Linked DNA regions of Mus musculus. The protein of the gene in region 1 purifies or fractionates together with the protein of each later gene. This does not show direct contact. Links are inferred from orthologs where the notes say so. Each region holds a gene or a part of one and is shown on either strand. Other genes may lie near its edges.

Region 1 (4,300 bases):
TCTACTGAAAAGTAAATCAAGTCAACGTGTTCAACCTGCGGGCTAGCTCTCGTCAGCTTCTTGACACAACAGTTCAGAGCGATACCTTTAGTAGCATAATTGAAGTCAACATTTCGGAAGTGGACAAGCAGAACGTCGCTTGGTTTAAACACCATGGTGTCCACAATGTCTTCCCGGCGAGGCCCACCTGCTGGCTCAGATGCTTTCCGATGCACCGCGTCAACTGCCAGTTCAAACTACAAAAGCCCCAGTCCAACATGGCAGGGTCAGTATCAGAGGGAGAAGATGGATTCGCTCTTAAAGCTTTCTAGTCTTTCAACGTCAAATGCCCATGTCACTCTGTATTTCCCAATGTCAACCAGAGAACTTAGCAAAAGCCTCAAAACTGCCCGCTGTCACCCAACACACACTCTCAATCTCACTCTCCTTCACAGCTTCAGAAATTCCTAATTTGAGTACACTGACCTTTGAGCTCAGAGTCTTGAAAATGCCCTCGTAAGTGGTGCCATTTTTCACCTTTACGTCACAAGTAGAACCCTAGCAAGGTGAACCATTTAGTCATTTTAAGAAACTGAAACAGCATATTCCTCAGACACCCAGGTTAAAGCTGTTACTTACCACTACAGCTGTCAGGAAATGCAGCATCCTGGAATTGTTATAGACACCTTCAAACACCTGTCACACGAGAAAAAAGTAAAGGGCAGCAGGTGAATACTCTCTTCTCAGATTGTCCCACACTGTCTGTCTTCCGAGTGTCTTTACAGGAGGAAAAGAAGGCACTCACGGGTGACTGTGGGGGTCCCTTTCCGGTGGTCTGTCCCCTATTAAAAAAGAAAGAGAGAAATAGTTTTAATTAGTAGTGAACCCTAGACCAATGTACCAGGTCAACTTGCTGATTTAGGCTATAGACTGATTAACAAGCAAGACTTTTCAAGTTCTCACATTAAAGAAGAAAGTAGGCATTAACTGCTAAAACATTTTCTCCGAATTCAAGATTTTAAAAAAGTCAACAAAATATTCAATAAACAATAGCTGTCAAATGTTCCTAACAGTCAGTGCAATACAACCTGACTTCCTCTAAGGGACAGTCCTTCACTCTTCCGATAAACCACTGCTATAGTATTAAACCAACAGCACACTTCAGCTGTGAAGGCGAAAGCCCGGGCATCCCAAACGCAGCACCTCTGAGCTTAGACACATTACCTCCCAAAGGAAAAAAAGCTTTCAGGAGCCTTGGATTCCAAATCCCAGGAGAAGTATATTCTCCACACCCCACCCTTTCGCCCTCATTATTTTCATTCAGCCTGTTACCCACTCTGAAGGGATCCCCAAACGCCAGGTAACACAGCTCCTCGACGGCTGATGTAACCGGCAGTTGAGGAGGGCGAGGAGGGGGCCGTTGGCTGGGCTGGGGGACCGCGCAGCCGCAAAAACCATCCACCGGGATGCCTCGCCCGGTCTGCGCCTGCGCACTACAGCCCATCGCGCTCCACCACCCGCTCTAGAACAGAAGCCACTGCGCCTGCGTCCAGTGCCTCTTTCTATCGCATTGACACACCGAGAAAAACCGAGGGCACCCACTCCCCACTCACCGACACCAAACGCCCCTAAACCCTCCAAATAACCCCTCCCTCCTCCGCCTCTGCTCTACGTGTTACCGGGGCAAGCCAATGCCCGAGTCATAAGACAGCATCCGCGCGCACGTACGCCCGGGGAGCGCGCGCGCAGGAGCTTCCCAGCCCGCAGTCTTCCCAGTAGCCGCTGCTTCCGCGCCCCCGCCCACCCCGTCCCCCTCTCACTGGCTACACCGGGAAGAGGAGGGAACAATCCGCTCCCAAGTCCCTCCCTCCCCATTGGCCAAACTGTGGGCCGCGCGCCCCCCCCCCATTGGCTACAGTCGGGGACCCCTTCATGCAGCTGACTCCCCATTGGCTGAAGCCGGGGACCGCGAGATCCTTCGTGGTAATGGAGCTAGGGACCCCATCACCTCCTCAACCCCCCCAACACCCTTTGCCGACGGAGCTGGCGGGATGCGCCCCGCCTCCCCTCAGGGCCCAGACCCCCAAGAGGTGACTAGGCCCAGAGAGCCGAGCGCTGCCCCCAGGCTCCTGGAGACCTCCCGGAGAGCTTTCTCTCCGACCTGTTGGCACGAGGGTCCACCCCCTCCTTCACGGGGTCCTGGGCCCCCAAGAGCCCCCTCAACAGCTCCAAGCCGGGGCGCTGCCTCCCGGGCTCTCCCTAGCCAGGAAGCCCCGTCCTCACCTGACGCTGCCGATAGCCACTGCCCCTGGCCTTTCTTGATGCTGCGGCGGCGCTGACGCCGCTAAGATGCTTTCGGCTCCGCGGCGAAGTCCGCTGCCGGCAGCGGCTGCAGGCCCCAGGCACGGAGAGACCGCTGCGGGAGGCCCCGGGGGAGCCGCGGTGGCGGTCAGCGGTCCCGGGAGGCCGCCGTTGGGAGGGCTGGTCCCGCCGGGAGACCGGCGAGCCACGGCCTGTTGCGTGGGGGGCGGCTGCTGGGGTTGGGAGGTCTGTTGTGGCGGCTGAGGCTTCAACATGATGGCAGCGTCCGGAAGAGAAATAAGAGGGAAGGGAAAGAGGGCCTGGGGCCGGGCCCCTGCTGGAGAGCGCGGGAAGCGAAAGAGATCGCCAAGCAGGGGACCCGCCGTTGGCGGGCGGGGGGAGCCCCGCGGTGTCAGGGGTGGATCGAGAAGACGGCGGCGCGAGGAAGCGCCGCGAGGCGGAAGGGGAGGGGGGATCTCGCGGGCCGGTGGACAGCGAGAGGGCGCGAGCCGGCCTGGCGCGCGTGCGCGTCGCTGGAGAAGGAGAGGGAGGAGCGCGGGCGGAAGCGCCGGCGGGGGAGGGGCGCGGGGAGCGCCGCCAGGCGGTTAGTTCCGGAACAGAGGAGAGGCTCGAGCCGTGGCTCCGACCGGCCTAGCCCCTGGGGCGGAAAAGGAGCCGCGCAGGCGCTTAGCGCACCTCTAGGTTCTGAGCCACCTTAAATGCTGGCGGCCGCGGTTGCTTCACAACGAGGGTGGGCGGGGCCAAAGCCGGGAAGGGGAAGTGCCGGCGGACCCGCCCCTCCCACGCCGCCAGCGTAACGTCAGAAAGTCTCCGCGGTGGTGTGAGGTGTCACGTCGTAGCGTGAGGTTCTTCCGCCACTGGGTGACCGGTGGGCGGAGTCTCGGGAGCAAGAGAAAAAAAAAAATCCCTAGGACTGGAAAAACCTAGTACAGGTAACTTAAGGCAGGTGGGTTTTTAAAGGTGCTGCTCTCCATCTTAACTGCTTTAAAATATTAATGAGCGTCAGAATGACTATTCTGAGCATATGTGCATCCCAACAAATGTGCCCAATTCTAAATTGAAATTCAGTGATTCTTTCAGGGAGAGCGACCCCCTGAACAGTAGCAATACAAGCCGTCTGAAAGCCAGACTGACTAAGAGTATATTACAGAATCCAGCTGCATAGCAAGACACGGTTAGAAAACCGTGGTATAGTGCTTGCCTATTAAGGCAGCCCTCATTCAAAATTAGGGCAGCTATGGTGCTTCAGAACTTTAATTCCAGTACTAGGAAGGGAAGGTAGGAGGATCAAAAGTTTGAGGCTATCCTGCATTGTATAATAAATATCAGGTCAGCTGGGCAGACCCTGTTTCAAAAGGAAAAGTTGATGGAAAAGTCCATGCTTTGGGTAACTAAGCCACTCAAAGCTCAAGCTAGTGGAAGATTTATATAATTTGAGCAAAGGTACTTGGTAAAACACAGAGGGCAGGAAAATGGATTTCTATACAGACGAAATGGATCTGACAGGACATACGAAAAAATGGAGCTTGATTGGAGCCTGAAATCCTCACTCTATAGCTGTAGCTGGCTTTTAACTCCTTGTGTATACCATGGTGGTCTTAAAACTCACAGAGATCTGTCTGCCTTCTGAGTGCTATGATTCAGACATAAATCAGCACAGCCAGACTTTGTCATGGAATGTTAACCTAAAATCCCTTTATTGATAACATAATCCAAAAATTAAATCTAGGATTGGGTAGACACTAAGAAATTGAATATAGCAGTACAGATGAGTCCAAATCTACACTTCAGATTAATAACCCATCATAAGCGGAAAAATGGAATTAATTTAAAGTCATCCTCAAATATTTAGTCTGAGGCCAGTGGGTCAGGTGAGAGTCGGCATACACTTCCTAAAAAGTATAGGAGCAGGGGAAAGATAAATAGGTCATTTGGTAGCAGTGTACAAAATAAAAATGTATGTGTGGGTGGTTTGCCTTGCAGGTATGTTGGTGTAGAG
Region 2 (4,093 bases), on another chromosome or scaffold:
AGCCAGGGCTGTACCAAAAAAAAAAAAAATCCCTTATAATACATAGACAAATGTATATCTAATTTAATGAATTTTAAAGCAATTATTCATGTAATAGCAATAGCACATTGGCTGGGGTATGCTGGTGTGTGTAGGACTTTAATCCCAGCATTCATGAGGCAGAAACAGGGGGAATCTCTTAGTTGGCCAGACACTTCTACTTAGGTAGTTCCAAGCCAATCAGGTTTACATAGTCTGTTTCAAAAACAAACCAGTCCAAAACAAACAAAACTCCTAGCCAAGTCCCCCAAATATATATTTCGAGGGTACCCCGTGTCTGTGCTTATCACAACCTTCTTCCTATCATAACAGGTTAAATTAACAGCATAAATTGCAAATACACCTTTACATTTCAATGTTTTCCTTAAATTTAATACAAAAATGTTTTAAAAACCCAAACCTTAAGAACTTTTAAAGGGTTCCTTTCTCCTTTATTTCACTTTTGAAAGTCTTAGTCTAAAATCTATTTTGGTTCCATAGTTGACCTCACCTGCAGTGTTTGATTAAAAAAACAACAAAAACACCCAAAAAACTTCAGTGTAGATTTTTTTCATTCCTCCCTCTCTCTTGCTTTCAACTACAAAGAAACAATGATTTAAGCCCTTTGTCCCCTTTTAGAAAATTACACAGATACCCTATTGTGGAACCCTATAATCCCTCCGTGGAAAGGAAGAGATTAGCATATGAATACAAAGCAAAATGAATCCAGAATACGAAAACGATCTATCGAGTTGTGAAGCTCTTGTATTCTTAAAAATGTATTTATTTCCTCTTTTTTGAATTGCCCCCTTCGTGGTTTAAGGGTTAAGGAAATTGAGCTTTCCTCTCTGGCTACCCGGAAAAGAATTAAACACACACACACACACACACACACACACACACTCACAACCCAACACATTCTAGGAGGTGCAAAACCAACAGATGGCTCCTAGCGCCAGTAGAATCGTCAGTGGAATCTGCTACACTCGACATCAGCTTGCTCGGTGTGAGGAGTGTAGAAAGTGCTGTTCGCTAACTGCGTGGTGAAGGAGAGAAAGCGATAGAAGAGAGAGCCATAATGCTGACGTTGAAGGCCCGGCCCTGTGAGGTTGCATAGGGTAAGTGGCGTTGGCCAGGCGGCGGTGGCGAAGGGGAAGGGAAGAGGATTTGAGCTAGGGGCGGGGCTTGACGCGCAGCGTGGCTCCTCATTGCTGGAGCACGGCTGCCAATCTCGCAGATCCTCTCGCTTAACCAGTGCGCTGGCGAGACGCGCTCAGATATACCGAGCGAGCGCGGAGAAGCAGTCTCAGATCCTGACGGTGCAGCAGCCCGCAGCCTCAGCCAGGGAGTCCCAGCCGCTTTCAATGGAGGAGAAGCCCGGCCAGCCACAGCCTCAGCACCATCACAGCCACCACCATCCGCACCATCATCCCCAGCAGCAGCAGCAGCAGCAGTCGCACCACCACCACCATTATTATTTCTACAACCACAGCCACAACCACCACCACCACCACCATCACCAGCAGCCTCACCAATACCTGCAGCATGGAGCCGAGGGCAGCCCCAAGGCCCAGCCCAAGCCGCTGAAACATGAGCAGAAACACACCCTCCAGCAGCACCAGGAAACGCCGAAGAAGAAAACAGGTCTGAGAGGGAGGGCGGTGGGGGAAGGGGGACTGGATTGGAGGGGGGGGAAGCGATGGGGGTGGGGCTAGATGGGAAAAGCGCGGACCCGGTCCGGGTGTGCGTCCCGCCGGGCCGGGGATGCCCCCTTCCATTCTTCCCGGGCGCGGGCCGGGCCGCGAGGTGGGGATTGCAGCGCCCTCTCCTTCCCTTTAGCATGGGAGAGGCCCAGCCAGGCCGGCGTGACCTTCCTCGGTCCCCGCCCCGGCCGGCCGGAGGCAGAGCTGTGCCCTCGGCCTTGGAAGTCCAGCCTTCATCTTCTTTTTCCCCTCTAGTGCGGGCCCTGGAGTTGCCTGAATGTGGGGGCCCCTAAGAAGGGGGTGAAACTCAGCCGCCCTAAAAAAATAAAATAAAAAATTCCCCCGAGGTGTATGTAATTCAGGCCTAGTGAATCCATCCTGATGCGGGTGGTGTCGCGAGAGCCGCTTGCAGGCGGCGACGAGCGGGGCTGAGGGCTAAGTTGAGGAAGCGTCCTCGCTCACCCGCCGCCCCGAGCCCACCTGTGGCCTTGGGGTTTGCCGTCTGGGTGTGTGGGGGACCCTATCGTCCCTCGGGTCATTTCCACCCCTAAACGCCCGTCTTGCGCGTCCGGACCCCGTTGTCTGTCCGCGAGGGCTTCTCCGCAGGCCGGCGCCCCTGGCCCGCTCGCCTCGGAGCCGGCGAGGCTGGAATGTTCTCTCCTCCTCGCGGGGCCGCTTCCTGTCCGCCATGTTGGAAGCTGATTCCTGTCACCGACTCCGGCCGGCGGAGGAGCGGAGGGGGAAGGGTGCCGAAGGCCACACGGCACGCCGGCCCGGCTGCCCCGGGACCCTCTGCGGCCCTTTTCCGGGTCCCCCCCGCACTGCGGGCGGCCGCCGCCCGCCGCCCCTCCCCCTCCGCGCCGCGCCGCGCCGGGGTTGTGTAACCCGGTGGCGGCCGCGCGGCCCCGGGCGGGTCCCTGGGGTGAGGGGCGGGGGCGGTTGGGGTGGGGGAGGGAAGCGGCCACGAGGGGAGCGGCCTGCACCGTGGCCCCGCGCGCCCGACGGCCGCGTTTCCCGCTCCCGGGTGCGGCGGGAGGCGCGGGCGGGGAGCGGGCCTTGAAGAGGAGCTTGAAGGGGGAAGGAGGCCCGGGCGGCGGCCGTGGCCGTAGCGTTCCGCTGGCCTGCGAGGGGCGAGGGGGATTCGTTTTGGGGAGAGGCGGTGCCTGAGGCCGGGTGGGGTACCCAGCGGGAACCAAGCTCCCGGGTCACGAGTTTCTCTGCCACAGGAATCTCATCTCCTGCCAGGTTCGCTCACGACTCCGCCTCGGAGGCTTTTTCACTTAGGCCTTTTTTCTTTATAGCAGCGCATTTCCTACCCAAAAAAAAAAAAAAAAAATGGGGGGGGGTTGGGGAACAACCTCTCAAACTTTGTTCCATTCGTTTTCCACCGAACACCTAAACTTCTGAGCTGGGTAGTGACTTTGTGGGAGGGATTAATCCGATGCTCTAATGGGTGGGACAACACGGGCAGTTTTGGCTTTCCTGTTTCTTTAACTATGAACTGGAAGTGACTTGTCCATGTGGTTGTCACCAGCCCTTTACCTTGGACAAGACCTTTTTGGTGGTTAAGAGGCGTTTTGGTGCATTTTAAAACCGACTTCCATCCCCTAACTGAGTATTATTTAACATTAAATGTGGAGCCTTGAGCTACTTAAAATAAGCATCAAAGTTTATATATTCACACGTTTTGTTTTGTTTTGTTTTGTTTTTAACTGAAAAGGGAATGAAGAAAGAAGTGTTAAACTTAGTCTTTCAAGTAATACAAGTAAGTTACTGGTGAAAAACTTACTGTAGACAATATAACTTTGAAGGCAGAGCTGAGTGGATATCAGATTTTCTTTTGTAGGGTAGTAGGGACTGATGATAGAGCAGAAGTGTTTAATTGTAAGGATTTACAGCAGCCTAGAAACTTAGGAATTATGTAACTGTATTAGTTTTGCTTTTCATGAGGTGAGAAAGTATCAAGGTTGCCCAGTGGTATTGTTCACAGATTCAGAATTTGTCTTTTATGAGGTTTATGTATTCCCCACAGGGCTCCTCACTGCATAGAAAGGCAGACCCTGAACCATTCATTGAAGGTGGCCCTCCTCACAATGTGTCTTAACCTGGGATGAAGAATGAGGAGGGAACTGGGTTTAGGAAATTTAGAGGTTATTAACAGTTGGGCTCAGCGGCTTTCCCGTATGTGGTTTGGTCGTTGGGTACTGTGCTAAAAAATCTAGAAAATGCTAGGGAAATACTTAACAAGTTTTTATGAACCATTACTTCCAAAGCTATGAGAAACTGGTTTTCTGGATCCAGAAGAGGGCACAGGAGACAAAACATGTTGAGTAATTGCAGTGTCAAATCTAAAAGCTAGATTTATTTGGGAC

The links.
Region 2: the proteins of Atxn2l (region 1) and Nufip2 purify together in Homo sapiens (affinity purification with mass spectrometry; 4 studies listed by BioGRID and IntAct, counting the BioPlex papers as one, with this or other methods). This does not show direct contact. The link is inferred for Mus musculus from reciprocal best matches to the Homo sapiens genes ATXN2L and NUFIP2.

Annotation. Positions count from the first base shown.
Region 1 is NC_000073.6:126,500,638-126,504,937, forward strand, and holds the start of Atxn2l (ataxin-2-like protein), read right to left. Parts: upstream 2,801-4,300; 5' UTR 2,556-2,800; coding exon 2,263-2,555; intron 1,963-2,262; exon of another isoform or gene 1,694-1,962; coding exon of another isoform or gene 1,659-1,693; exon of another isoform or gene 1,593-1,658; intron 1,464-1,592; exon of another isoform or gene 1,438-1,463; coding exon of another isoform or gene 1,316-1,437; intron 822-1,315; coding exon 785-821; intron 676-784; coding exon 619-675; intron 538-618; coding exon 466-537; intron 237-465; coding exon 86-236; intron 1-85. UniProt on the Homo sapiens protein: Involved in the regulation of stress granule and P-body formation.
Region 2 is NC_000077.6:77,684,846-77,688,938, forward strand, and holds the start of Nufip2 (nuclear fragile X mental retardation-interacting protein 2), read left to right. Parts: upstream 1-1,293; 5' UTR 1,294-1,382; coding exon 1,383-1,662; intron 1,663-1,710; exon of another isoform or gene 1,711-2,966; intron 2,967-3,441; exon of another isoform or gene 3,442-3,486; intron 3,487-4,093. UniProt on the Homo sapiens protein: Binds RNA.